Mus musculus: one gene and its partners. The protein of the gene in region 7 interacts with the protein of the main gene of each other region in a biochemical or structural test. Links are inferred from orthologs where the notes say so. Each region holds a gene or a part of one and is shown on either strand. Other genes may lie near its edges.

What was found.
Region 1: of the proteins of Ep300 (region 7) and H2ac20, one has a biochemical effect on the other in vitro, tested with the Homo sapiens proteins (5 studies listed by BioGRID, with this or other methods). The link is inferred for Mus musculus from reciprocal best matches to the Homo sapiens genes EP300 and H2AC20.
Region 2: the proteins of Ep300 (region 7) and Klf4 form a complex in vitro, tested with the Homo sapiens proteins (2 studies listed by BioGRID). The link is inferred for Mus musculus from reciprocal best matches to the Homo sapiens genes EP300 and KLF4.
Region 3: the proteins of Ep300 (region 7) and Carm1 form a complex in vitro, tested with the Homo sapiens proteins (5 studies listed by BioGRID, with this or other methods). The link is inferred for Mus musculus from reciprocal best matches to the Homo sapiens genes EP300 and CARM1.
Region 4: of the proteins of Ep300 (region 7) and Max, one has a biochemical effect on the other in vitro, tested with the Homo sapiens proteins (3 studies listed by BioGRID). The link is inferred for Mus musculus from reciprocal best matches to the Homo sapiens genes EP300 and MAX.
Region 5: the proteins of Ep300 (region 7) and Srebf1 form a complex in vitro, tested with the Homo sapiens proteins (3 studies listed by BioGRID, with this or other methods). The link is inferred for Mus musculus from reciprocal best matches to the Homo sapiens genes EP300 and SREBF1.
Region 6: the proteins of Ep300 (region 7) and Rel form a complex in vitro, tested with the Homo sapiens proteins (3 studies listed by BioGRID). The link is inferred for Mus musculus from reciprocal best matches to the Homo sapiens genes EP300 and REL.

Annotation. Positions count from the first base shown.
Region 1 is NC_000069.6:96,219,913-96,222,170, reverse strand, and holds H2ac20 (histone H2A type 2-C), read left to right. Parts: upstream 1-1,290; 5' UTR 1,291-1,326; coding exon 1,327-1,716; 3' UTR 1,717-1,758; downstream 1,759-2,258. Other genes in the region: H2bc21 (histone H2B type 2-E), read right to left, coding at 625-1,005; H2ac21 (histone H2A type 2-B), read right to left, coding at 1,863-2,255. UniProt on the Homo sapiens protein: Core component of nucleosome. Nucleosomes wrap and compact DNA into chromatin, limiting DNA accessibility to the cellular machineries which require DNA as a template.
Region 2 is NC_000070.6:55,529,676-55,533,914, reverse strand, and holds the start of Klf4 (Krueppel-like factor 4), read left to right. Parts: upstream 1-1,439; 5' UTR 1,440-2,043; coding exon 2,044-2,048; intron 2,049-2,164; coding exon 2,165-2,285; intron 2,286-2,931; coding exon 2,932-3,916; intron 3,917-4,032; coding exon 4,033-4,197; intron 4,198-4,239. UniProt on the Homo sapiens protein: Transcription factor; can act both as activator and as repressor. Binds the 5'-CACCC-3' core sequence. Binds to the promoter region of its own gene and can activate its own transcription.
Region 3 is NC_000075.6:21,587,431-21,589,967, reverse strand, and holds the end of Carm1 (histone-arginine methyltransferase CARM1), read right to left. Parts: intron 2,461-2,537; coding exon 2,383-2,460; intron 2,118-2,382; coding exon 2,049-2,117; intron 1,920-2,048; coding exon 1,780-1,919; 3' UTR 501-1,779; downstream 1-500. Other genes in the region: protein YIPF2, read left to right, coding at 1-122, 208-321. UniProt on the Homo sapiens protein: Methylates (mono- and asymmetric dimethylation) the guanidino nitrogens of arginyl residues in several proteins involved in DNA packaging, transcription regulation, pre-mRNA splicing, and mRNA stability.
Region 4 is NC_000078.6:76,959,449-76,963,594, forward strand, and holds the start of Max (protein max), read right to left. Parts: upstream 2,801-4,146; 5' UTR 2,578-2,800; coding exon 2,542-2,577; intron 2,532-2,541; exon of another isoform or gene 2,337-2,531; intron 1,842-2,336; coding exon of another isoform or gene 1,815-1,841; intron 1-1,814. UniProt on the Homo sapiens protein: Transcription regulator. Forms a sequence-specific DNA-binding protein complex with MYC or MAD which recognizes the core sequence 5'-CAC[GA]TG-3'. The MYC:MAX complex is a transcriptional activator, whereas the MAD:MAX complex is a repressor.
Region 5 is NC_000077.6:60,198,584-60,201,105, reverse strand, and holds the end of Srebf1 (sterol regulatory element-binding protein 1 isoform a precursor), read left to right. Parts: intron 1-270; coding exon 271-471; intron 472-488; exon of another isoform or gene 489-568; coding exon 569-680; intron 681-954; coding exon 955-1,184; 3' UTR 1,185-2,022; downstream 2,023-2,522.
Region 6 is NC_000077.6:23,760,970-23,764,469, forward strand, and holds part of Rel (proto-oncogene c-Rel), read right to left. Parts: intron 187-3,500; coding exon 44-186; intron 1-43. UniProt on the Homo sapiens protein: Proto-oncogene that may play a role in differentiation and lymphopoiesis.
Region 7 is NC_000081.6:81,638,214-81,641,713, reverse strand, and holds part of Ep300 (histone acetyltransferase p300), read right to left. Parts: intron 2,735-3,500; coding exon 2,667-2,734; intron 1,974-2,666; coding exon 1,823-1,973; intron 1,720-1,822; coding exon 1,573-1,719; intron 1,275-1,572; coding exon 1,161-1,274; intron 455-1,160; coding exon 289-454; intron 1-288. UniProt on the Homo sapiens protein: Functions as a histone acetyltransferase and regulates transcription via chromatin remodeling. Acetylates all four core histones in nucleosomes. Histone acetylation gives an epigenetic tag for transcriptional activation.

The DNA of each region.
Region 1 (2,258 bases), on a different chromosome or scaffold from region 7:
AGGAAAAACAAAAACAGAACAAAACAAACCAAGCAAGCCTCGAACAGGGATTTTAAAGCCTGATAGAGAACCATAACCGACTTCTACCAAATCGGCAGCAACGTGGAACATTCGTGTTTGTAAATCAGTAAATTAGAGGGACACCACCCTAAGTACCCCGTAACCGCTGGTGCCCAGGACACAAGTAAAGGGACAGAGCGGTTTCAGTTGTAGATGGCTGGTACCCAGCATTCGCCGACACAGTCTTAGCTGTGTCCTGGAGCCCTCTATTCGCCAGGGTAAGGAAACCATCTCACTTTAAGTCGACAAGTAAATGGTACCCCAAAAGCCTAGAACACGGAAACCGGGCCCAGAGACCCACCTCCATTATCCTAGTCTAAAAAGAACTCCAAGAAGCTAAGTAGGGTGCAGCAAACTGCAAACAGATACCCACAGGGGAACTCAAAACCACAAAGGCTTAAAACTTCTGAAGTGTACCCTTTTCAAGACCCTTGGAGTAACTTTGGAATAGGAACTAGAAACTAATGCAAGTGGCAAAGCTCTCTTCTGATTTGAGCGGGTGACTCACTAAAAGAGACTTTAAAAGATCAAAGGGGCCAGCGAGCGCCTCATCCAGGGAGGCCTCTACTTGGCGCTGGTGTACTTGGTGACGGCCTTGGTGCCCTCCGACACGGCGTGCTTGGCCAGTTCTCCGGGCAGTAGAAGGCGCACCGACGTCTGGATCTCCCGCGATGTGATTGTAGACCGCTTGTTGTAATGCGCCAGGCGAGAAGCCTCGTTTGCTATGCGCTCAAAGATGTCATTGACAAACGAGTTCATGATGCCCATGGCCTTGGACGAGATGCCGGTGTCCGGGTGCACCTGCTTCAGCACTTTGTACACATAGATGGAGTAGCTCTCCTTGCGGCTGCGCTTGCGCTTCTTGCCATCTTTCTTTTGCGCCTTGGTGACAGCCTTCTTGGAACCCTTCTTGGGAGCCGGGGCAGATTTGGCCAGTTCAGGCATGATTAAAAGCAAACAGTGGAAAACAGTCTAGTAAGTAGAAAATCAACCAGGGACCCGGAGGACTTGAGCCCTTTATGAACGCCTTATGCAAATTAGGTCTCAAAGTACTTTTAATTTCCATTGGCCCATACGCGAAACTTGCGTTTTCAGTACAAGCCTAAAATTTCAGATTTCATTGGACTTCTCAGGGGCCAAATAACCACCAATGAAAAGCTCCCTCCTCACCCCACCCCTAGGAGCGCCTATAAAGGCCTTAGAGACGAATCAACCTAGCTTTACAGAAGTTGTCACCTCGGTGTGTCCTACATTATACTCTAAGTTATGTCTGGCCGTGGCAAACAGGGAGGCAAGGCCCGCGCCAAGGCCAAGTCGCGGTCTTCCCGGGCCGGGCTACAGTTCCCGGTGGGGCGTGTGCACCGGCTGCTGCGCAAGGGCAACTACGCGGAGCGCGTGGGCGCCGGCGCGCCGGTATACATGGCGGCGGTGCTGGAGTACCTAACGGCCGAGATCCTGGAGCTGGCGGGCAACGCGGCCCGCGACAACAAGAAGACGCGCATCATCCCGCGCCATCTGCAGCTGGCCATCCGCAACGACGAGGAGCTCAACAAGCTGCTGGGCAAAGTGACGATCGCACAGGGCGGCGTCCTGCCCAACATCCAGGCCGTGCTGCTGCCCAAGAAGACCGAGAGCCACAAGGCTAAGAGCAAGTGAAACTCAACACGAATCCAAAAAGGCTCTTTTTAGAGCCACCAAATCTTTTACAAAGGAGCTAGCTAACGCGCCAGTTTGTGACCAGCCCTTTGGATGACACTTTGGTGGCTCTTAAAAGAGCCTTTTTGTGTGGAAAGGGATAATAGTTATTTGTTCTTTCCAGGCTTATGACTTTCCGTTTTCTTCGGAAGTAAGACAGCCTGAATATTGGGGAGGACCCCGCCCTGGGCGATGGTGACTCCCCCTAGTAACTTGTTGAGCTCCTCATCGTTCCTCACAGCTAGTTGCAGATGGCGCGGGATGATGCGCGTCTTCTTGTTGTCGCGGGCCGCGTTGCCCGCCAGCTCCAGGATCTCGGCCGTTAGGTACTCCAGCACCGCCGCCATGTACACCGGCGCGCCGGCGCCCACGCGCTCCGCGTAGTTGCCCTTGCGCAGCAGCCGGTGCACACGCCCCACCGGGAACTGCAGCCCGGCGCGGGACGACCGCGACTTCGCCTTGGCGCGGGCCTTGCCTCCTTGTTTGCCACGGCCAGACATGGC
Region 2 (4,239 bases), on a different chromosome or scaffold from region 7:
ACGTGGCACCGACGCCCCGAGAGGAGCGAGTGCACACGCTGCCTATGCTGGAGCATCGACCCCCTTTCCCGAGTGCCTTTCTTCAGTCCCCGCCCTCAGCTGTCTCCGCCAGGGTTCAACCATGAGGGCGGCGGAGCCCAACTCTGCTCCCCAATCCAAAATAAACACCTAGCCTTAAAAAAAAAAAAAAAGTAAACCTAGTTTAGCGAGTTATACTGAACACCACACTCACGGTTTTTGTTTTGTTTTAAGTACTTGGTAGAGATGAGGGCGAAAACCTTTCCCGGCTGGAAAATTACTGAGGGTAGTGGGGAATGGGAAAAGGAGTAATAAGACTAAAACAAAGACTGCCTTTTCCCCTCCCGGTAGGCAAGGGCCTGAGGTGCCACTTTGGAGCACTAGGGTCCCATTGCAGCGCTCCTCTTCCCAGCGCAGGATCACCTCCCAGTGAAGTCCCTTTGAGTGGGTTGGCTAGCTCAGAACCTAAGTTGATGGGAGCGAGTTGTCCTATGACCTTTACCTCGCCGCTTCACCTCTTTATGACTCACTTCTCATCTTCAAAATGAAGAGTGCGAGTGCGTAGCTTGTAAAGAGCTTTGAGATCCCTGGTGAAAGGTATCTCCGCGCCTCGGTCCCTCTCCGCGTTCCCACTCCCCCACCCCCAATGTAAATCTGGAACGCCTTCCTTGTTCCTTCCATTATCAAGATGACTACGTGCCCAATCCCGGCCGCTCTCTTTCATAGCAGGCGCGGAACCCCTTCTCCTAGCTTCTGAGATTCCTAGCGCCCCCCCCCAATCACCCGGCCCTCACCCCCACCCTACGGGAGGCCCCACTGGCACCCGCGCCAGGCCAGGCCCTGCGCCGACACGGCCCGGCGTCTGCGTGCGTATGCGAGAGAGGGCGGGCTGGATGAGTCACGCGGATAATCGCGCTCTCGAGTGCGCAGACGACAGGACAAGCGCGTACGCGAGCAGGGGTAGGGGCGCGCCGCCTCTTCCCCCCCACACACACACACCCCCAACCTCCTGTCCCCCGCCAGGGTTCCCGTGGCAGGACTTTCGAGCCCAGGGAACCGACCGTGGCCGCCCAGAGGACCCCGAGTAGCGCGGCCACGGGAGCCACGCCGTACTCCCAGCGCCGGAGCCGCCGTCGCCGCCACCGCCGCCGGCGTCAGCACGGCTCCAGCCCGCCAGCTGCCTGGCTGGCGTCACGGCCTGGCCCCGCCCCGCCCGCGCCCCTCCCTCGCCCCCGCCCCCACGTGCGCGGAGTTTGTTTATTTAGCTACCATGGCAACGCGCAGTGGGGGCTGCGGGAAGGCGGGGAGAAGAAAGGCAGGGGGCGGGGCCTGGCGGCGGAGCCCCGCGCGCCGCCACAGGGAGGAGGCGGGGAGCAAGCGAGCGAGAAGTTATAAGTAAGAAGCGCGCGGCGGCCGCCGGCAGTTCCCCGGCCAAGAGAGCGAGCGCGGCTCCGGGCGCGCGGGGAGCAGAGGCGGTGGCGGGCGGCGGCGGCACCCGGAGCCGCCGAGTGCCCCTCCCCGCCCCTCCAGCCCCCCACCCAGCAACCCGCCCGTGACCCGCGCCCATGGCCGCGCGCACCCGGCACAGTCCCCAGGACTCCGCACCCCGCGCCACCGCCCAGCTCGCAGTTCCGCGCCACCGCGGCCATTCTCACCTGGCGGCGCCGCCCGCCCACCGCCCGGACCACAGCCCCCGCGCCGCCGACAGCCACAGTGGCCGCGACAACGGTGGGGGACACTGCTGAGTCCAAGAGCGTGCAGCCTGGCCATCGGACCTACTTATCTGCCTTGCTGATTGTCTATTTTTATAAGAGTTTACAACTTTTCTAAGAATTTTTGTATACAAAGGAACTTTTTTAAAGACATCGCCGGTTTATATTGAATCCAAAGAAGAAGGATCTCGGGCAATCTGGGGGTTTTGGTTTGAGGTTTTGTTTCTAAAGTTTTTAATCTTCGTTGACTTTGGGGCTCAGGTACCCCTCTCTCTTCTTCGGACTCCGGAGGACCTTCTGGGCCCCCACATTAATGAGGTAGGTGAGATGTTGGACTTGGGAACAGAAAGGGGTGAGGATTGGAGGGAAGCTTCGGAGCAGTGGCCAGGGTGTCCCCTGACTCCTGGTCCCTGTGCGCCCCGCCCGGCCCGCAGGCAGCCACCTGGCGAGTCTGACATGGCTGTCAGCGACGCTCTGCTCCCGTCCTTCTCCACGTTCGCGTCCGGCCCGGCGGGAAGGGAGAAGACACTGCGTCCAGCAGGTGCCCCGACTAACGTGAGTGTCGCGCTAGTGCCCTGTAGATTTCTGCAGATGGGGTGGGGTGTATGGGCGGAATCCGGGGGTCACCAAGAGTCCTTGGTTAGGACAAGGATTGCCCTCCATTGGAACTCTACAGCCTTCCGAGGTGGCTCCTCGGCCCTTGAGTCGGCCTTAAGTGCGTGTGGTCCCGGCACTGCGGTACCGCCAGGGGCGCACAGCGGTTCCCCACTAGTCTTCGGGCGTCCGGACCGTGGGGTGGGCGCACTCAGTCCACTATATTTTAGGTGGACAAGTCTCGAGACCCTTTGGGCCGGAGTGATCGTAGCGCGTGGGCGACCCGGTGGCTATGGTGCATGGGGAGAAAGCCACCGTGTCCCAGTGTCCCAATTCCGTGGGCGGCTGGAGCGTCCCGCGGATCTGGCGGGGAAGAGGACTGGGCTGGTGGAGCGACGGCACTAGCTTGCAGGAGAACGAACGCGCCACCTCTTACCTTGGTGTTAGCTGAGATTGCAGTGTGGCCCCTGGAGTCCCCGAGGCTGCCTTCCTGTTCTGTCCAGTTCCTATAGCAGGGTGTTGGTGTGCTTCACCCAACAAGTCAATATTAGGGGTGGCAACAGGGTGCTACAATTAACAGTTTCTCTCTCCCTCCCTGTTCTTGCAGCGTTGGCGTGAGGAACTCTCTCACATGAAGCGACTTCCCCCACTTCCCGGCCGCCCCTACGACCTGGCGGCGACGGTGGCCACAGACCTGGAGAGTGGCGGAGCTGGTGCAGCTTGCAGCAGTAACAACCCGGCCCTCCTAGCCCGGAGGGAGACCGAGGAGTTCAACGACCTCCTGGACCTAGACTTTATCCTTTCCAACTCGCTAACCCACCAGGAATCGGTGGCCGCCACCGTGACCACCTCGGCGTCAGCTTCATCCTCGTCTTCCCCGGCGAGCAGCGGCCCTGCCAGCGCGCCCTCCACCTGCAGCTTCAGCTATCCGATCCGGGCCGGGGGTGACCCGGGCGTGGCTGCCAGCAACACAGGTGGAGGGCTCCTCTACAGCCGAGAATCTGCGCCACCTCCCACGGCCCCCTTCAACCTGGCGGACATCAATGACGTGAGCCCCTCGGGCGGCTTCGTGGCTGAGCTCCTGCGGCCGGAGTTGGACCCAGTATACATTCCGCCACAGCAGCCTCAGCCGCCAGGTGGCGGGCTGATGGGCAAGTTTGTGCTGAAGGCGTCTCTGACCACCCCTGGCAGCGAGTACAGCAGCCCTTCGGTCATCAGTGTTAGCAAAGGAAGCCCAGACGGCAGCCACCCCGTGGTAGTGGCGCCCTACAGCGGTGGCCCGCCGCGCATGTGCCCCAAGATTAAGCAAGAGGCGGTCCCGTCCTGCACGGTCAGCCGGTCCCTAGAGGCCCATTTGAGCGCTGGACCCCAGCTCAGCAACGGCCACCGGCCCAACACACACGACTTCCCCCTGGGGCGGCAGCTCCCCACCAGGACTACCCCTACACTGAGTCCCGAGGAACTGCTGAACAGCAGGGACTGTCACCCTGGCCTGCCTCTTCCCCCAGGATTCCATCCCCATCCGGGGCCCAACTACCCTCCTTTCCTGCCAGACCAGATGCAGTCACAAGTCCCCTCTCTCCATTATCAAGGTTAGTGGGGGGAAGGGACTGGCTGGTAGAGATGGCGCTGGGAGCTTTGTTTCTGGGGATCTTGAGACTATCCAGATTGAAGTTGACCCCACTTTCTTTACCCCCCCCCCTCCCAGAGCTCATGCCACCGGGTTCCTGCCTGCCAGAGGAGCCCAAGCCAAAGAGGGGAAGAAGGTCGTGGCCCCGGAAAAGAACAGCCACCCACACTTGTGACTATGCAGGCTGTGGCAAAACCTATACCAAGAGTTCTCATCTCAAGGCACACCTGCGAACTCACACAGGTAAGGGAACCAGCACTGTGGAGGAGGGTTGGTGCCTGTCTG
Region 3 (2,537 bases), on a different chromosome or scaffold from region 7:
TGTCAGCAGCCGGGCTGGTATTCACACTGTGGCCTGTTGTCCGAGAGGATACACGGCTGGTGGCTGCGGCACTATTGTCTACTGTGGTGCTGCTTCACGCCCTCTTGGCGCTAGGCTGTAAGGTAGGTTCCAGGAGATTCTCACCAGGGCTGTGGAGTGGGGTGTGCTGCCACCCAACTGTACATTCATTCTGAGGTCTTTCTGCAGCTGTACTTCTTCCAGCCACTGCCTCTGGACCATGTGGTGCCAGCACCCCAAGCTACACCTCCATCTCCCAATGTCCTGCTGCCCAGTTCAATCCAGCCCATGACAACCTCCTAGGAAGGCTCATAGGTGAGGGACCAGTTTCTGTGTTGGTTGAGGATGTACCCTCCTCCTGGGACCATTCCTAGGAGTCTTTCTTTTTCAGGCCAAACTCAAGGGGATACTACTTGTCCTGCCCTCCCTATGAAGATGGGAGGATTCTTGGACCCTGGAGACTACCCTGCTGTTTTGCAGGCTTTTCTTACAAAGCAAACACTTTTATTTTCTATGCAAAGGTGATCCAGAGAATTTATATAAAGGTGGGGGAGGGGCAGCCGAGCAAGGAGTATTACTGATGGACAGGAGAGAGCCTGGTTCCCAGCTGCCTGAGGGCCCTCTGATTCCCTGACAGGTCAGGAGGGTGGCACAGAGCAGCTCCAGCCTTTGCCAAGGGGTTCCTGTGGCAGGCTGTGGCCATTGAGGTGGGGACTCTAGGGTAAGGGAATAGGGGAAACTGCCTGTGCTTATTAATCACCCTTCCTTCTTTGCTTTTCTTCTTGTCTGGGGAGGTCCCTGCGAGGCTCCTTCCCAGGGTTGCTGTCTTGAGAGGATTAAGTAGAACATGAATGTGAACGCAACACACAGGCCTATGTTAGCTATCAGGAGAGGACGCCTTCCTTGTGTGTGTGTGACAGATCTTTGAGGTTTCTTGTCTGCCCCAGTAGCCCAGGGTGACACACTCTGGGCTGCCTGTTCAAGCTTTTGATGGAGGGGGGCCTTCAGGGCTCAGGACAGGACAGTAGCAGAAAGTAGGGACTAGGCCTTTGGACAGCTGGGTGGTTTGTACATTCAAGTTTGAGGTGAACCCTTTGGTGGGAGGGGGCTGTGCCCACTCTGAAGGCTTGACAGGGCCACCCCTCACCTAGAACCTCTGGGCCTAGGAACAGGGGCTGCTGGCTTGGCCCGGCCAGCCGGGTTTCTCAGAGGGTCTGTGGGTTGACACTGGTTCTTTTCGTAAAAAAATAAAATTAAAAAAAGCAGCATGTCACGCCCATGGTGACCATGTGGCCTGGTAGTTGAAGGAGAGGTCCAGCTGGCTGTGCTGCCACCCCAGGTGAGGGGAGGTGCAAGGACGGGTTGTGGGGTGGGTGCTGCCAGGTCTGTGGTGGCAGCTGCTGGCCTCCTCCTGCCTGGTCAGGTGCAGCTGTGGGGGTTGGGGGAGGACTTGCCTCTTCCAGCAGATGTCAAAGCCAGGTCAGAGTGGAGAGTACAGAACAGGATGAGGGCTGCCCCAACAGGATCTCATGTAAAGTATGGCAGCAACACGCGCTCGGGACCAAAGGTTGGGCTGGGGGTACTTGAGGGCAGCGGCGACATCGTGTACAAAATTGTCCAAGTTCCCATAGCAAAGAGGGCTGTGACCGGGTGTTCACACTTCTCCAGAACAAGGGGGAACAGCCACTGGCTGTGCCGGGCCTGGACTTGATTTGGTTTCCTGGTGCTGTCAGTGCGCAGTGCTGTCGCGGCTGGAGGCACCTAACTCCCATAGTGCATGGTGTTGGTCGGGATGGACATGGGCGAGGCCATAGAGATGGCAGGGCCACCCATGGTGAACTGGTTGTTGACTGCATAGTGGGCACTGGAGCTACCGCCGCCTCCCTGGGCACCTGAGGAGCCTGTAGGGCAGGTCACGGGCACTGAGGAGCCAGCATGACCCCTGAGCCTGCCTGGCCCCCACTGGTAGCTTGAACGTGTGCGCAGGCCAGGCGGAACGTCCCCCGCCCACGGCCCCACTACCCTGTTACCTTGGACAATGCCCGTGCTCATTATGGAGCCCATCCGGGAGTGGGTGTGATTGACAATCCCTGTGTTAGCTGCGTAGCGACAGGGAGGAAAGAGGGAGGGAGGCAGATGTCACCGCCCCCAGCCTGCCCTGCCCACTCCACTCATGGATGGTGTAGGGAAGGGCAGGTGGAGTGGTGATAAAAGTAGAGAGGCACACAGGGCTAGAGTCCCCAGGAAGAAGAAGAAGTGACCATGACAGCGACAGTGGTGGCAGAGAACCAAGCACTGGTTTAACTGGCCACTGGCACATCCCAGTCCTCCCCTGCCATGCCATAGATCCCAGGGGACACTCACCTAAGGGAATCAGGTTGTTGTGACCCACACTGGAGCCGCCGGCAATAACACTGCTCAGGTCGTAGGCAGTAGGCATTCCTAACCAGAGAGTAGGTGTCAGGGGTGGGGCAGGCTCTGGGAATTGGGGTCCAGGCTGCCACCAAGGGCCTCCAGCC
Region 4 (4,146 bases), on a different chromosome or scaffold from region 7:
GAGAGTTCTTGTTCGTGTGAGGCAGAATCTCATGCTGTAGCCCAGGCTGGAACTCATTCTATATCCCAGGCTGGCTTAAAATTCAGGGAAGACTCCTGCCAAAGCCTCAGAAGCCCTGGGCTTACATACTGGGCCACAAGCCTGGACTCTGTGTTGTGTATGTTAAGGCAGGGTCTCAGTAAATTGCTCGAACGTTTGATCCTCCTACCTCAGCCTCCCCAGTAACTGGGTTTACCGACCAGAACCACCAAGCCTAGTTGCATCCTGCAAACTCTACAAGTTCCTAAACAGCTGTGTCATATATCGTTTAAAAATCAGGTAACTAGAAGGTAGAGAGATAGCTCAGTGGGTAAAGGCACTGAGGTCAAACCTGATGACCCTAAATTCAATCCCCAGACCCATGTGTTTGAGAGAGAGAACTGAATCCAAGTGGTTCTTATGACCTTCACATGTGAGCCATCACATACACGTGACCACACAACACTCACACACACATACATACATACATACACACATACATACATACACACACACACACACACACACACACACACACACACACGTTAAGTAAATGTAATTAAAAAAATCAATTAAATAGGCTGAGGTTGAAGCTCCATGGCAGAGGGGTTGCACAGCATGCGAGGGCCCTGGGTTCGAATCCTAGCACAGTCAAAAGTTAAATGCACATAAACACACCCAAAAAAGTAATAATCTGTGTTTCAAGTATTTTAACATTTCTCATAAACTTTGAGGTTCCAGGGATAGGGCTCAGCCCTGAAGGAAACAAAAAGATCTGGCAGCACCGGGCAGCACCGATCACTCTCAGGTAGCAAGCAGCAGGGGCAGGTGGCTACGGACTTTTTAGAAGGGGTGTACATCCTCACCTCTTCCTTCCACCCTTGACTAGCTGTTACCTGGTCCTCACGGGTAATGAGGACCTCACTCCATTCTCTTTCCCTACCATTTCCAACCATCAAATATTCCATCTCTCTCTCTCTCCTCTGGTTGTATTCTGAGTCTATTCCTTCTCTCCTCTCTCTCTCTAATCTATGCCTATTTACTCCTAAGTCTCAGACTCCAGACAAGAAAGCATGGGGTCAACCCAAAGCCAGAAACACCTACAAAAAAACCCCATTAATATAAAAAAATCTAATAAGTTACTGATAACATTATATGGATGCATCCATCACCTTTCAGCAAAGCTGTCTCTAACAGTGCCACTCTTCAACATTTTTTTTCTTCTCAAATGGAAAGTCAAGACCACAAAAAGCTGTGCCACTTTCAATATTTAACTTCTAGCGCCTCTCTTTTTTCCATTGTCGTTTTTTGGGGAATATCATGCTTTTCTAGATCCTAGGAGTCTGCAGTAGTCACATGACCTTGGCTAAAGGCGATTATTACATGTGCCTGCAACTTCACACAACTATGGAGATACTGCTTAAAGTTTACCTGCTCCTAAATAAAACCTAGCCAGTTTGCTCTGAAATAACACTACCATTCACTTCAGAATGCCCTTCCATTTCTCACATATCTCCGCCGCACTGAACACTACAGAACAACTCAGTTCACAGCACAGGCCTCCTCACTTGCCTGCCTACCTACCTACCTACTCACTAGAATCTACCACCTGAATATCAAGAATCATGTGGATTTGCAACGCCCCCCTCCTCCAACCCCAACAGACTCAACCTCACCTTAGCGGTTAAGAGGAGTTTACAAGAGTATTAAAAGTAATAGAACGATCTCTTTTTCTGACTCCAAAAAGAACCAAAACTGAACGGAAATGAAAATGAAATGGAGAGTAGGAGACGTACCGCAGATTGAAACCTCGGTTGCTCTTCCTGGAATAAGAGAGAGAGAAAAATAGAAAATACAGAAGTTATTTTCACACTTCGAATTCAATAATAAGAAAGAAAATGCCGGCGGCGGAGGAAGCAGCGGGTGGGGAGTCAGTCTGACACCCCTCCCTCCCTCTTTCCCCTTCCACTCTCTCCAGCGAGATCCCGTAGCCTAGTTGGGGGGGGGGGGGGGGGGGGTTTCAGGCACTGCCCCTCCTTCTGGGATCCGAACCGGACAAGAGGGATCCGGAACACTGCCTGCTCTCCCTCGATCCCTCTAGGGCGTCAGAGCACTCCCAGCCCCTTCACCCCAAGGATCAACCGGTCACAGGAGGAGGGAGCTCATGGACCCAAAGAGCAAGAGCTGAGCGCTGGTCTCCTTGCCCAGGATCCGGAAGGATAATGGGATCCCCAGCCGGGCAGAGCGGAGAGGGAGGCCTCGACACCCTCCTCCACGGGAGAATGTGGGGGTCCCAGAGGCCGCGTGTCTGCTCCCACCTTCAGTCCCAGGAGGCCTCTCCGGACAGGACTGGAGGGGAGCGAGCCTGGAGCGCGACGCAGGCGGTCCCGGCCCCGGGGGGAGGGGGAGAAAAGGACGGAGGCGGCGGCGACCCGACCCCCTCCCGCCGTCGCCCGGCTGAGAACCCTTGCCGCTGTCCCCGCCTGACAACCCGAACGGAAAGGAAGAAGCCCCAGGACTCACGTCGCTCTCCACCTCGATGTCATCGTTATCGCTCATTTCCTACGGCCCAGGGAGCGGCCACTGCAGCGGCGGCCGGGGAGGGGAGGGGTGGAGGGAAGGGGGAAGTCACCGACAACAACAAGCCGAGTGCCCCCACGCACACACTCACTCACTCGCTCACTCACTCACACACACTCACGCACACACAACACGGGCGACAACCACCTCACTGCAGCACCGGATCAACGGCGGCACGCACGCCCGATCGGCCCCCTAACACGTGACCGGGCTCACCGCGCCGGGGTAGCTGAGACTTGTAGTCCTCGAGCGTCGGATGGGCGAGTGAGAGAGAGCCAGAGAAACTACAAATCCCATCAGGAACCGCACACAGGCTTCGCCAGACTCGCTTGTTGACAGAGCTCAGGGCGCCTGCGCCCCGGGTGTTGGCAGCGAGAAGTGGCGCGGTGCCTCCCGGGAGATGTAGTCCACAGACCGCGAGTTGTCAGGAGATTTTCCTCCCCAGGCGGCGGAGAGGCTGCTGGGAAGACAGGACACGTGGAGGGAGCTGGGCTCCTGGAGCCGGCCACAATTCCGAGCTCTGGGCGCCCGGCCCAAGGGATTGGGTGGAGGCTCGGGGGTTTGGGGGCGGGGGGAGAGAAACTGGCTGCCAAAATAACACTGTCTCTTCTTGGCTAGACTGCTTTTACATTGTCTCGTTTAATGCTTGAGTCGCTCCACTTGCGCCCTGGGGCGTAACCCTCCCGGGAAGGAATCACGCTGTGGCTGACCAGGGGGCGCGGTCGAGATGCCCACGCGGGCCCTCTGTTATCTGGGTTTAAGGTGTTAAGAGACATTACGGGACAAACTAAAGGACCGATTTCGCCGGGTGTCCTTCATCTCAAGAATCTTGCTTTCATTTGTCCGAGAGAACTGTCCTTGCTGGGCTTGAGTGTTTACAAAACCTCTCGTAGGTGCAAGTAAAACCTACCTTCTGTTTGTTGTAGCCGGAGCAGATTAGGGAGTGCCCCAGTTTATAGAGAACTTTAATTAACTGCAAAAAGAATCAAAACGGGAAAGTTGTGCAGCTCCCTGTCCAGTTAAGGTCATACATAATGCAACGAGGTATGAAGTGTAACTACATTGTCCCCACCCGCATTTAGCTAAGTATCTAATATGTGGCAGCCCAGGAATGGCATGATGTGTCCCCTCAAAGACTTCACAGCTTTGAAAGCAAAAACCGGACTACCCTGTCACCATTTTCAGTGTGCACCAGGTCCTCAATGAAACAACAAACAAACAAACAAACAAACAAACAGTAATAATAAGGTCATCTGAGAAATTAACCAGACTACCACTTTACAATTGATCTTCAAAATGAGTGCGGTCTTGAGTTTGATTTATGAGTTAATGTTTTTTGAGTAAAAAATCATTTAACCCCTGACTATTGAGTGCAGAAACTTGGTGGTGTAATACAATCTTTCTGACACCTAGCCCAGGCTGGCCTTAAATGTCCGTGTGGCCAAGCCTAGTGATGAGAACACAGTCATAAGCAGACACTGACTCGTAATAGAAGTCAAGGGCTGTAAGGGAGACAAAGATGGTAAGAGGGTTTTTTGTTTGTTTGTT
Region 5 (2,522 bases), on a different chromosome or scaffold from region 7:
TGTTTCGCCACCACCAGGAAGGAGGGTGTGGGGAGCAGACTGGCAGGGTTCCTGTTGGGAGCCATTGTTGGGAAGACTGCGGGCTTGTAGCAGGAGGCGGTGCATGTGTTGAGGCAGATGCAGTGCTTCAGTGATGCAACCTGGAGTCAGGCCCCAGTGCTGTGGACTTCCTGCCCTTACTGACGCTGCCTTGAGACAGGGTGGCCCTCAGCTAGGGAAAGCTTGATGTCCATAGGGAAACTCCTCCCTCTGCCCTGCCTGCTATCCCAGGCCATGCAGCTGCTCCTGTGTGATCTACTTCTTGTGGCCCGTACCAGTCTGTGGCAGCGGCAGCAGTCACCAGCTTCAGTCCAGGTAGCTCACGGTACCAGCAATGGACCCCAGGCCTCTGCTCTGGAGCTGCGTGGTTTCCAACATGACCTGAGCAGCCTGCGGCGGTTGGCACAGAGCTTCCGGCCTGCTATGAGGAGGGTGAGTCCCACTGTTCTCACACTGAGGGGCATGAGGTAGGAAGCCGGGAGTGGGGGGACAGTAAATCTGAAACGGGTGACTACTCCTTGCCTCTCAGGTATTCCTACATGAGGCCACAGCTCGGCTGATGGCAGGAGCAAGTCCTGCCCGGACACACCAGCTCCTGGATCGCAGTCTGAGGAGGAGGGCAGGTTCCAGTGGCAAAGGAGGTGAGGAGGTGGCTGTGCTTACAGGGCTGGTGAGGGTCAGGGGCCGTCTTGGTCTAGTGAGACATACTGAGAGCTGACTTACAGAAATCAGCGGGGATGACAGTTTTTGAGGCAGTCATAGGAAAGAAGCTGAGCCCCCCTGTGTGCCCAGCCCAAGTGGAGAAAGCAGCCAGACTGGGAGTTCCACGTGGAAGAGCTCAGCTACTTTGTCCTGCACATGGGGTGTGGGCTCGGCCAGACCTAAGCCTCCCTCCCTTTGATGTGATCTGTGCAGGCACTACAGCTGAGCTGGAGCCACGGCCCACATGGCGGGAGCACACCGAGGCCCTGCTGTTGGCATCCTGCTATCTGCCCCCTGCCTTCCTGTCGGCTCCTGGGCAGCGAATGAGCATGCTGGCCGAGGCGGCACGCACCGTAGAGAAGCTTGGCGATCACCGGCTACTGCTGGACTGCCAGCAGATGCTCCTGCGCCTGGGCGGCGGAACCACCGTCACTTCCAGCTAGACCCCAAAGCTTTCCCTTGAGGACCTTTGTCATTGGCTGTGGTCTTCCAGAGGGTGAGCCTGACAAGCAATCAGGACCATGCCGACCTCTAGTGGCAGATCTGGAAATTGCAGAGGCTGCACTGGCCCGATGGCACCCTCTTGCTCTGTAGGCACCTTAGTGGCTTTTCCCTAGCTGAGGCTCACCCTGGGAGACCTGTACATAGTGTAGATCCGGCTGGGCCTGGCTCCAGGGCAGGCCCATGTACTACTTTGACTTTTGCAAACTTTATTTTCATAGGTTGAGAAATTTTGTACAGAATATTAAAAAATGAAATTATTTATAACTTCAGTTTTGTTTATCTGGGTAGGCAGATGTCTGCCTCAGCTGATTGCTATCTTTCCTGGCTTGTCCTTTGGGAAGCCGGACTTCCCATCTGTTGTAAGGTGTATTTGCTGGCTTGGTGATGCTATGTTGAGCCACCTTGGCCCTCTGATCTCATGGCTCATAACCCTTGAGGGGCCTTGATGGTCTCAGTTGTTCCTTTGCCTTCCAGCCCTCCACCAGGTAATAACCCCGTATATCCAGAAACACACACAGTTCCCTAGTCATCTCTGTGCACCAGCATAGGCGAAGGATCAGGGCCCATTAGTGAGTAGACTGGGAACCCTGTTTGTGTCCCCCGGCCCCTTCCCTCTACTCCCAACCCCTTAGGGAATCTGGTCGGCATCCACAGGCCGCACACTTCCAAAACAATCGTGGTATCTTTATTGACTTTTTTTTTTCTGAATGCAATGACTGTTTTTTTTTTTTTTAACTCTTAAGGAAAATAAACATCTTTTAGAAACAGCTCGATACACACAATCTTCAGTGTGAAGCAATATACTAATAAGAACACTAGTTGTCTTAACATTTACAGTCTTCATATATATTATATATATGTATATGTATACATATATATACACTATATAACGAGGCCAGATATAATACACACGTTTACCATTTTACAGTCATATGTACAGAACGTTGCAGGGAGAAGGGGCTGCATCAGGCCTATTAAAGCGTGGACAGAGCTGAGGACACAAACGGACAGGTGGGGGCTGGCCGTGGTGGTGGTGATGGTGGTAGTTGCTCGGGGAAGGGGCATCACTTTGGCCCCGACCCCAGCCAAGGCCAGGTTAGGGCTCTGTGCTGTGGAGCACACGACGCACAGCAGCGACACACAGAAGCGAGCATGTTCCCAACATATATACATTCTATGTAACATATATATAGAGGGGTACACAGGTTTGTACACGAATCTAGCACTGTCTCCGCCTATGAGCCGAGTGAGCTGAGTGGCAGTCCCTGAATCCCATG
Region 6 (3,500 bases), on a different chromosome or scaffold from region 7:
AAACTGAACCCTTAAAAGTGAGATACTGAAGAAAGGCCATTACCTGGACAGACGGGTATGTCCGGTTGTTGTCTGTGCTGCGCTCCCCTGGGATGCTACCTGCTGATCGCCCTTCACACTTGTATCTAAACCGCATTCCCCTCTGCCTTGGCTGTTCAATTATTTCTACGTATGGATTATATCCACCTGAAAATTTTAAAAAGAACAGTGCAATGAGATTAGAATAGTAATATAATAGACATTAATGGATATATTTTTTTTTAAAAAAAACAAAGATCTTTTTCCTTCCCAACATTAAATAACAAAGTTAAAATGTAATCTTCAAAGATTAAATGATGAAGATAACATTTCCTTATACAAACTAAATTCCTATGTAGTATTAACACATAACTGGTGAGTTCTTTATTGCTTAATATCTATACCTAATGAGTGTATTAAGTTGTGAGATAACAACTCTTAGAGTTACCTGTCCACATGAGGGCAATTATAAAGTTTTTCTTCCAACATTTCCCAAGAAAGGTGAAGAAAATAGTATTCAGAAGTACATTATATTCCAAAACTGAGTAAAATGTACTTAACTGCTTTATTTTAAATTAGACAATCACTGCATGAAAGAACACTCATTAAAAATTAAAGTGGACTTACGTCCTTGCATAGGCGAGTCTGGATTATCAAAGGATCTGTACACAATATACTAAAACAGTATACTGACTTTAAGCTCAACTGAACTTTCAAATCGGTCCCATCTAAATCTTCTCCAAAATGTAACACATAATGTGGAGATAACAAAGTCATTTACCTTCCATAACAAATGTAATTCAACATACGTACCCTTAGGATAAAACACTATAAATATAACTACCAAAGTAAGTGTGTTGAGTAAAAGAAGCACATACTATATGATCCATTTACATGAAACTCCAGAAATGTAAGCTAATCTATAATGAAAAAAAAGGTGATCACTATTTGTCTAAACTTGGTAGATGAGAAAGTTTGAAGGATGGTATTTCCAAGTATGGAGGGCCAGGCCTTAATAGAGGTAGGCTGATCTCTGTGAGTTCAAGACCAGTCTTAACTATATAGCAAGTTCCAGGCCAGCAGGGCTACATAATGAGATCTCATATCAAAAAAAAAAAAAAACTAAAAAAAAAGTTTATATATAATTATTATATTATAATGAGTTTTAAGTATATGTCAATAAAACTTTAAAAATATATGCATCTTCACCCTTTAGCCAAGTCATGGAAATAGAAGGTCCATAAAATAACTGTGTTTTCATGTTAAGGCAGGTAACCATGTGATTTTACTTCAGGAGTATAAATTCCCCAAACCATAAACCCATTTCACTAAGGCTTATCCTGTAGAATGTAAACAAGCTTCAGAAATGGTGAAACAATGAGTTTTTTAGTATAGCATGGGACATGGTCTATTCCAAACTGGGCACTTTTCTTTTCCTTGTAGAATTTACTATGTATATGTAGACCCAATTGACCATGAACTTGCAGTGATTTTTTTGCCTCCTGAGTTCTACTATCAAAACAAAATAAGATCCAGCAAGAGTCTAGCAAGACCCTGTGTTTAATAATATCTTATTATTAATATGCTCTGTAAAATATGTGTTAAATTCTTCCAAGTATCACACATACAAGTGGTAATCAGTAAATGGTACTACTATTACTTCAGATGTTGCTCTCTTGAAGAAAGTGACACCCTCACTATCACAGCTGCTACTCGGAAGGACCCTATACCCAACAGCAAGCAATGACTATACTAGTCATCGCAATGATGTTAGTGTACAGAAGGGGGAAATACTAACAAAATTCTGCAGAAAGTTATAATAAGAACAAAAGAGGAATCTAACAGTTTAAGAGAGGGAAAATGTAACAAAACAAGAGTGGAAAGACATTTTAGAAAAAGGGAAGTAATTGTCCATGACATCAACCACCAATGGAAGTAGAGTGCACTACCACTCTTAGAAAGAGAACCAAAAGTCCAAGCACATCCAGTAATATGGATTTTGTTGTATATGTGAAAAGCAATCAATGCTTTTATTCAGGAAATCAAAGGCTCAGATTAGCTTTCTAGAGAAAGAATTCTGATGGTAGTGGTTAGACTAAAAAAAAAAAAAGAAAAGAAAAGAATCAGTTTAAGACGACTTACATACATGCACATACATTTTATCCTATAAACACACACACACATACATACATACACACACATACATACATACACACATATAAGAGGTTAACAACAATATAATAGAATTACAACAAATGACTAAAACAAGTTATTTAAAACTTTATGAAATTTTTCTTTTAACATTTTGGACTACAGTTGATTACAAATAAATGAACTGAAAAAAATCAGACTATAGGTAAGTGGAGAGTATTGTCATATGAGCAAAAATGTGGATATGTCTGAAATATAGCTGTTATAAAGAAAAAAGATTATTTCAAAAAACAAAACTGACATATTTTGGTATCTAAACATCAAAGAGAAATAAACCACTAGTGGTAAGAGTCTGGGAAAACAGCCCAGTCAGAAAAATGCGTGACATTCAAGTACAAGATCCTGAGTTCAAGCCCCAGCATCCATAAAAACAGCCAGGCATGGTAGCATATCCCTGTAAGCCAGTGCTGGAGAGGAGATAGGAGGAACCTTGGCAGTCACTGGCTTGCCAGACTAGCCTAATGAGTGAGTACTAGGTCCCTGTGAGAGAGACACACAGGGGGTGGGGGCAAAGGGGAGAATCAATTGTGGCCATGTGGTTTTTCAATAAATTATTGCTGCTACCTTTAATTTTATTCATTCTGATTTAGACCTCTTGCATTTGAATCTATCACTCATTTGCTTATTCAAATGACAGAAAGCAGGCTGAAGGATCTGGGTACAAACTCAGTACCACCAGAAACAAAACAAAAGAACACAAATAAACAACAAACACACACACACACACACACACACACACACACACACACACAAAAGAGAAAACTACTTTAATCCAACAAAGTCCATAGTAATTACTGGAAATATAAGGCAAATGAATATTTTACAATGTGTGTATCACTGTATATGTAAAAATTACATCGTAATTTTAAATATCTTATATGCCTATGCATTCTTGTAGGACTACTTAAGAGAATGTACCTTTCTCTTCAAATGTGTTAAATTCAACATGATTTTTTTCAGTGGCATCTTAAAGAACTTATATGGTTGAACTAAATGGTCAAATAAATCCCAGCCCACTACTTAAAAGGTGTTCTGGTGAGAAATTGATAATTAATGATATCATTAATGATAGCTGGATTTTTTTTAAAGGAGAAATATAAAAAACATTGCAGGGTTATTCAAAGCAAGTTACACATTTCTTTAAACCAGTGAGTGTATTTATAAAACTATGAAATACAAAGGACCTAAGACTAAGTATTTTTAAAATTTCTTAAAGTAATAAGAATTACCTAAATATTGTCATGTAATTTCATGCATTTATATTTATTTTT
Region 7 (3,500 bases):
AATTAAACTTTAATAAACTAAAATTATAACAGTTACACGTTATAAGACTGAACAAAGCCGGGCATGGTGGTGCATGCCTTTAATCCCAGCACTCAGGAGGCAGAGGCAGACAGATTTCTGAGTTCGAGGCCAGCCTGGTCTACAAAGTGAGTTCCAGGGTAGCCAGGGCTACACAGAGAAACCCTGTCTCGAAAAACCAAAAAAACCAAAAAAAAAAAAAACTGAACAATACTTGTCAAAGAGAAGACAGAAAATAGTAGACTAGTATGTTTCTATGTTCCAACTGACCTTGTAGTCATGGACAATACGTTCTGATACAGCCTTGTCAAGCATCTTTTTGTACCATTCTTGCAGGCGCTTGGGCTTTGGTATCTTCTGATCAGGTGGATGGCAATGGAAGATATAGTCATCCCCTTCACTGGGTGGACAGGCCCAGATGTGCCCTGTTGTGTATCTAAAAACACAAAGAGAAAGACATCAAGATATCATTTGTGTTAGAAAACGCTACAGTAGTCCTCCTAGAGTAGTGGAGGCTACAGGTGCAAACCACTGCACACAGTACGTGGTAAACAACAAGGCAAAAAGACAAGGACACAAATGTTTACTCTCAATAAGACCCAAAAGCAGATGCACTAACAGTTCTCATACCACTACTTGTTTTCAAAGGCCATTGAGGAATGTTGTAAATTTCATTTACAGAAATTGGTTCTTGATCCTAAAACCTCAAGTCTGTATTTTAAGATCAAAAAAGGGAAGAAACCCATCCTAAAAATTAAGTGTAAGGGGAACTGCTATAAGTTAGGTGGCAAATACTCTCCAGAATTGATTAGGTAAGGACTATCTGCACATGTTAACCTATAAATGAACTTGTACTCTACACGGCTGGGATTGTACGTATCATATTCAGCATGTTGTTAGTCTTTACACACAATTATAAAAGGATCAAGAAAACATTTTATTTCCAAATGAATAATATCAATAGTTTCAACAAAACAGAACAAAAGAATTGGTTTATTAGTTAAAGCATGGTGATATCATCTTCATATCACAGAAGATCTAACAAACTGAGTTCATGGCTCCACTGTATCATAACCAACACGAGAAAGCAAAAATACATAATTATACATTTTCTACAACATATCACTTTTTAATAAGCTTACCCTAATTTCTTGACATATTCCAAATATCCAATTAGAATTTCATGATAGACTGCAGTCCGCAAGCATTTAGGACGGAAGAAATGAACACTATCGAGGTAAGATATGTATACCCTCCTATATCAAAAACAAGGAAAGAAAAATGTTTCATCACGTATTAAATTATTATTTATATGGCTAAAGACATCAGCATTCCTTCCTGTGCTCTTGTTACTTGTAATTATCATAGGGAAATCCCAGGTGTGACTATGGGGATCTGGGTCGACCTTGGCTTCTATGTAGGACTGACCTGGTACATGCTATACTCACCATCCTGTTTCTGCCCAGTGTGCTTTTCTGCCAGTTATCACAGGAACCCAATCCCCTTGCCATTCCCTCTCCCACAACATGAGAAGCTGGTCACATTGAGTCCTACCTCTGGTTGGGAGGGGGGCAGTCAGAGCCATATTCTTGAACATGCATGCCGAAGAAACACAAGTCAACACCATCAATTTCTTCAAAGGCAAACAGGGCCTTTGTTCGGTATGGAAAAGATTCTGCCATCTCTCCACTATCTACAAACCTACAGATGAAAAGGAAATCACAAATCATTCAGGTTGAAATCAACAATAATTGAGTGTGCACAATTGTAGATCTATAAATACAAAATAGATATCATTAGACACCTTGCTTTCATGCCTGGTTTCACTTCCACAGTTTTGTCAGAAGCATGAACAACCCGAACAGTGACCTCTCCTGATTCAGGGTGATTTTGTCGCCTCAGAAAGTCATTCACTCGATTCTCCAGAAAGGTCCCAAGTCTGGTAGATGGCAATCCTAGAAATATAAAAGTTACAAGTTACCAAGTTAAGGTCTTGTGCACAATTACAAATGTTAGAGTAGGAAGAACATTACCATGGCTCAAATTTTACTGTCAATATTGAGGTTCAACTAACCTGATGTATTTGTTTTTTTTTTTTTTCAACATAGTAAGATATCATATCACTCAATACAAAGTATCAGGTAAGGCCAGAAGGTGCCTGTTAATTTTACAGTGATTCTAGTCAGTCACTTTTACATGTGCATCACATTATGACATGAGCCAAATCAGGAAGAAATAGAGGAGAAAATGTATATTAGAACTTCAGTGATTTTTTTTATAGCTCAATATTCAGTATGCTATAGGATTATTTTATTTTAGCTAAATCTCTTTTTCTCTTTTGAAAGAGGGGCTCACTATGTAGACGAGGCTGGCCTCAAACTCAAGAGATCTGCCTGCCTCCTAAGTACAGAGCTTAGAGGTATGTACCACAACACTTGTTAAAATTGATCAATTTTGGCCATATATACATATACATATACATACACACACACACACACACACACACACATATATATGCAGAGGCTGACTGCAAACTCAGAAATCTGCCAGCCTCTTCCTTCCCAGTGCTGGGATTAAAGGGTGTGCCACCACCGCCCAGCTATTTGTAATTGTTTAAAGTAAGGTTTACCTCTAAGAATGAGACTTACTTTTAGCAGAAAGCTTATTTTCTTTCCTAGTTCGTGCAGTTTTCTTTAAACAGCCATCACAGACAAACCTAAAACGTAAACCAGGACTTTGTTTATATAACATAAAAATTAAAGCACCATGTAACAAAATCTATCATTCAAATCCAGGTAAACGCAAAAACACTTGGCACAAGTTCCTACATATATAACAAAGTTGGTATAACCAGTATAGAGTTTTTAGAAGGCAGGTCTAGGATTTCTAGCTGAGAGAAACAAGATAACTGTAATCCCAACTGAGAATGGGAGACAGGAAGATCAAGGAGATCCTGGCGAGCCAGTGTGAGCATCTCAAAAACACCAACAAGAAAGAAGCATTTTGCTTTCTCCTTAGGCTTCTGTGCTACATGGTTATTATAATCCCAGAGCTGAGAGGGATGTGAGGAAGGGTTGGTCAAGGCTATATACAGATTACAAAGTAAGTTTGATGATAGATCCACGTTTCCTCACACCAACCACAGCCACACACACACAGATTTCTCTAAGTATACACTAGGCAAGTTCCCTACTACTGAACTATATGTATCCCTAGCTATTATACCCAGGCTGGTCTTCAACTCCCAATTTTCCTGTGTCACCCTTTGAGGATCAAGAACTGGCATTAAATTCTATAATAAAACAACTTCTAATTACAAAAAAATACAAAAAACAAAGCAAGCTTAATATATGTTTTTTAAAAAATAATTTAGTCAGGTGGTGGTAGTGGTGGCACACGCTTTCAATCCCAACACTGAGTTCAAGGCCAGCCTGGTCTACAAGAGAAATCCTATCTCAAAAAAAGTCTCTGGGTATATGGCA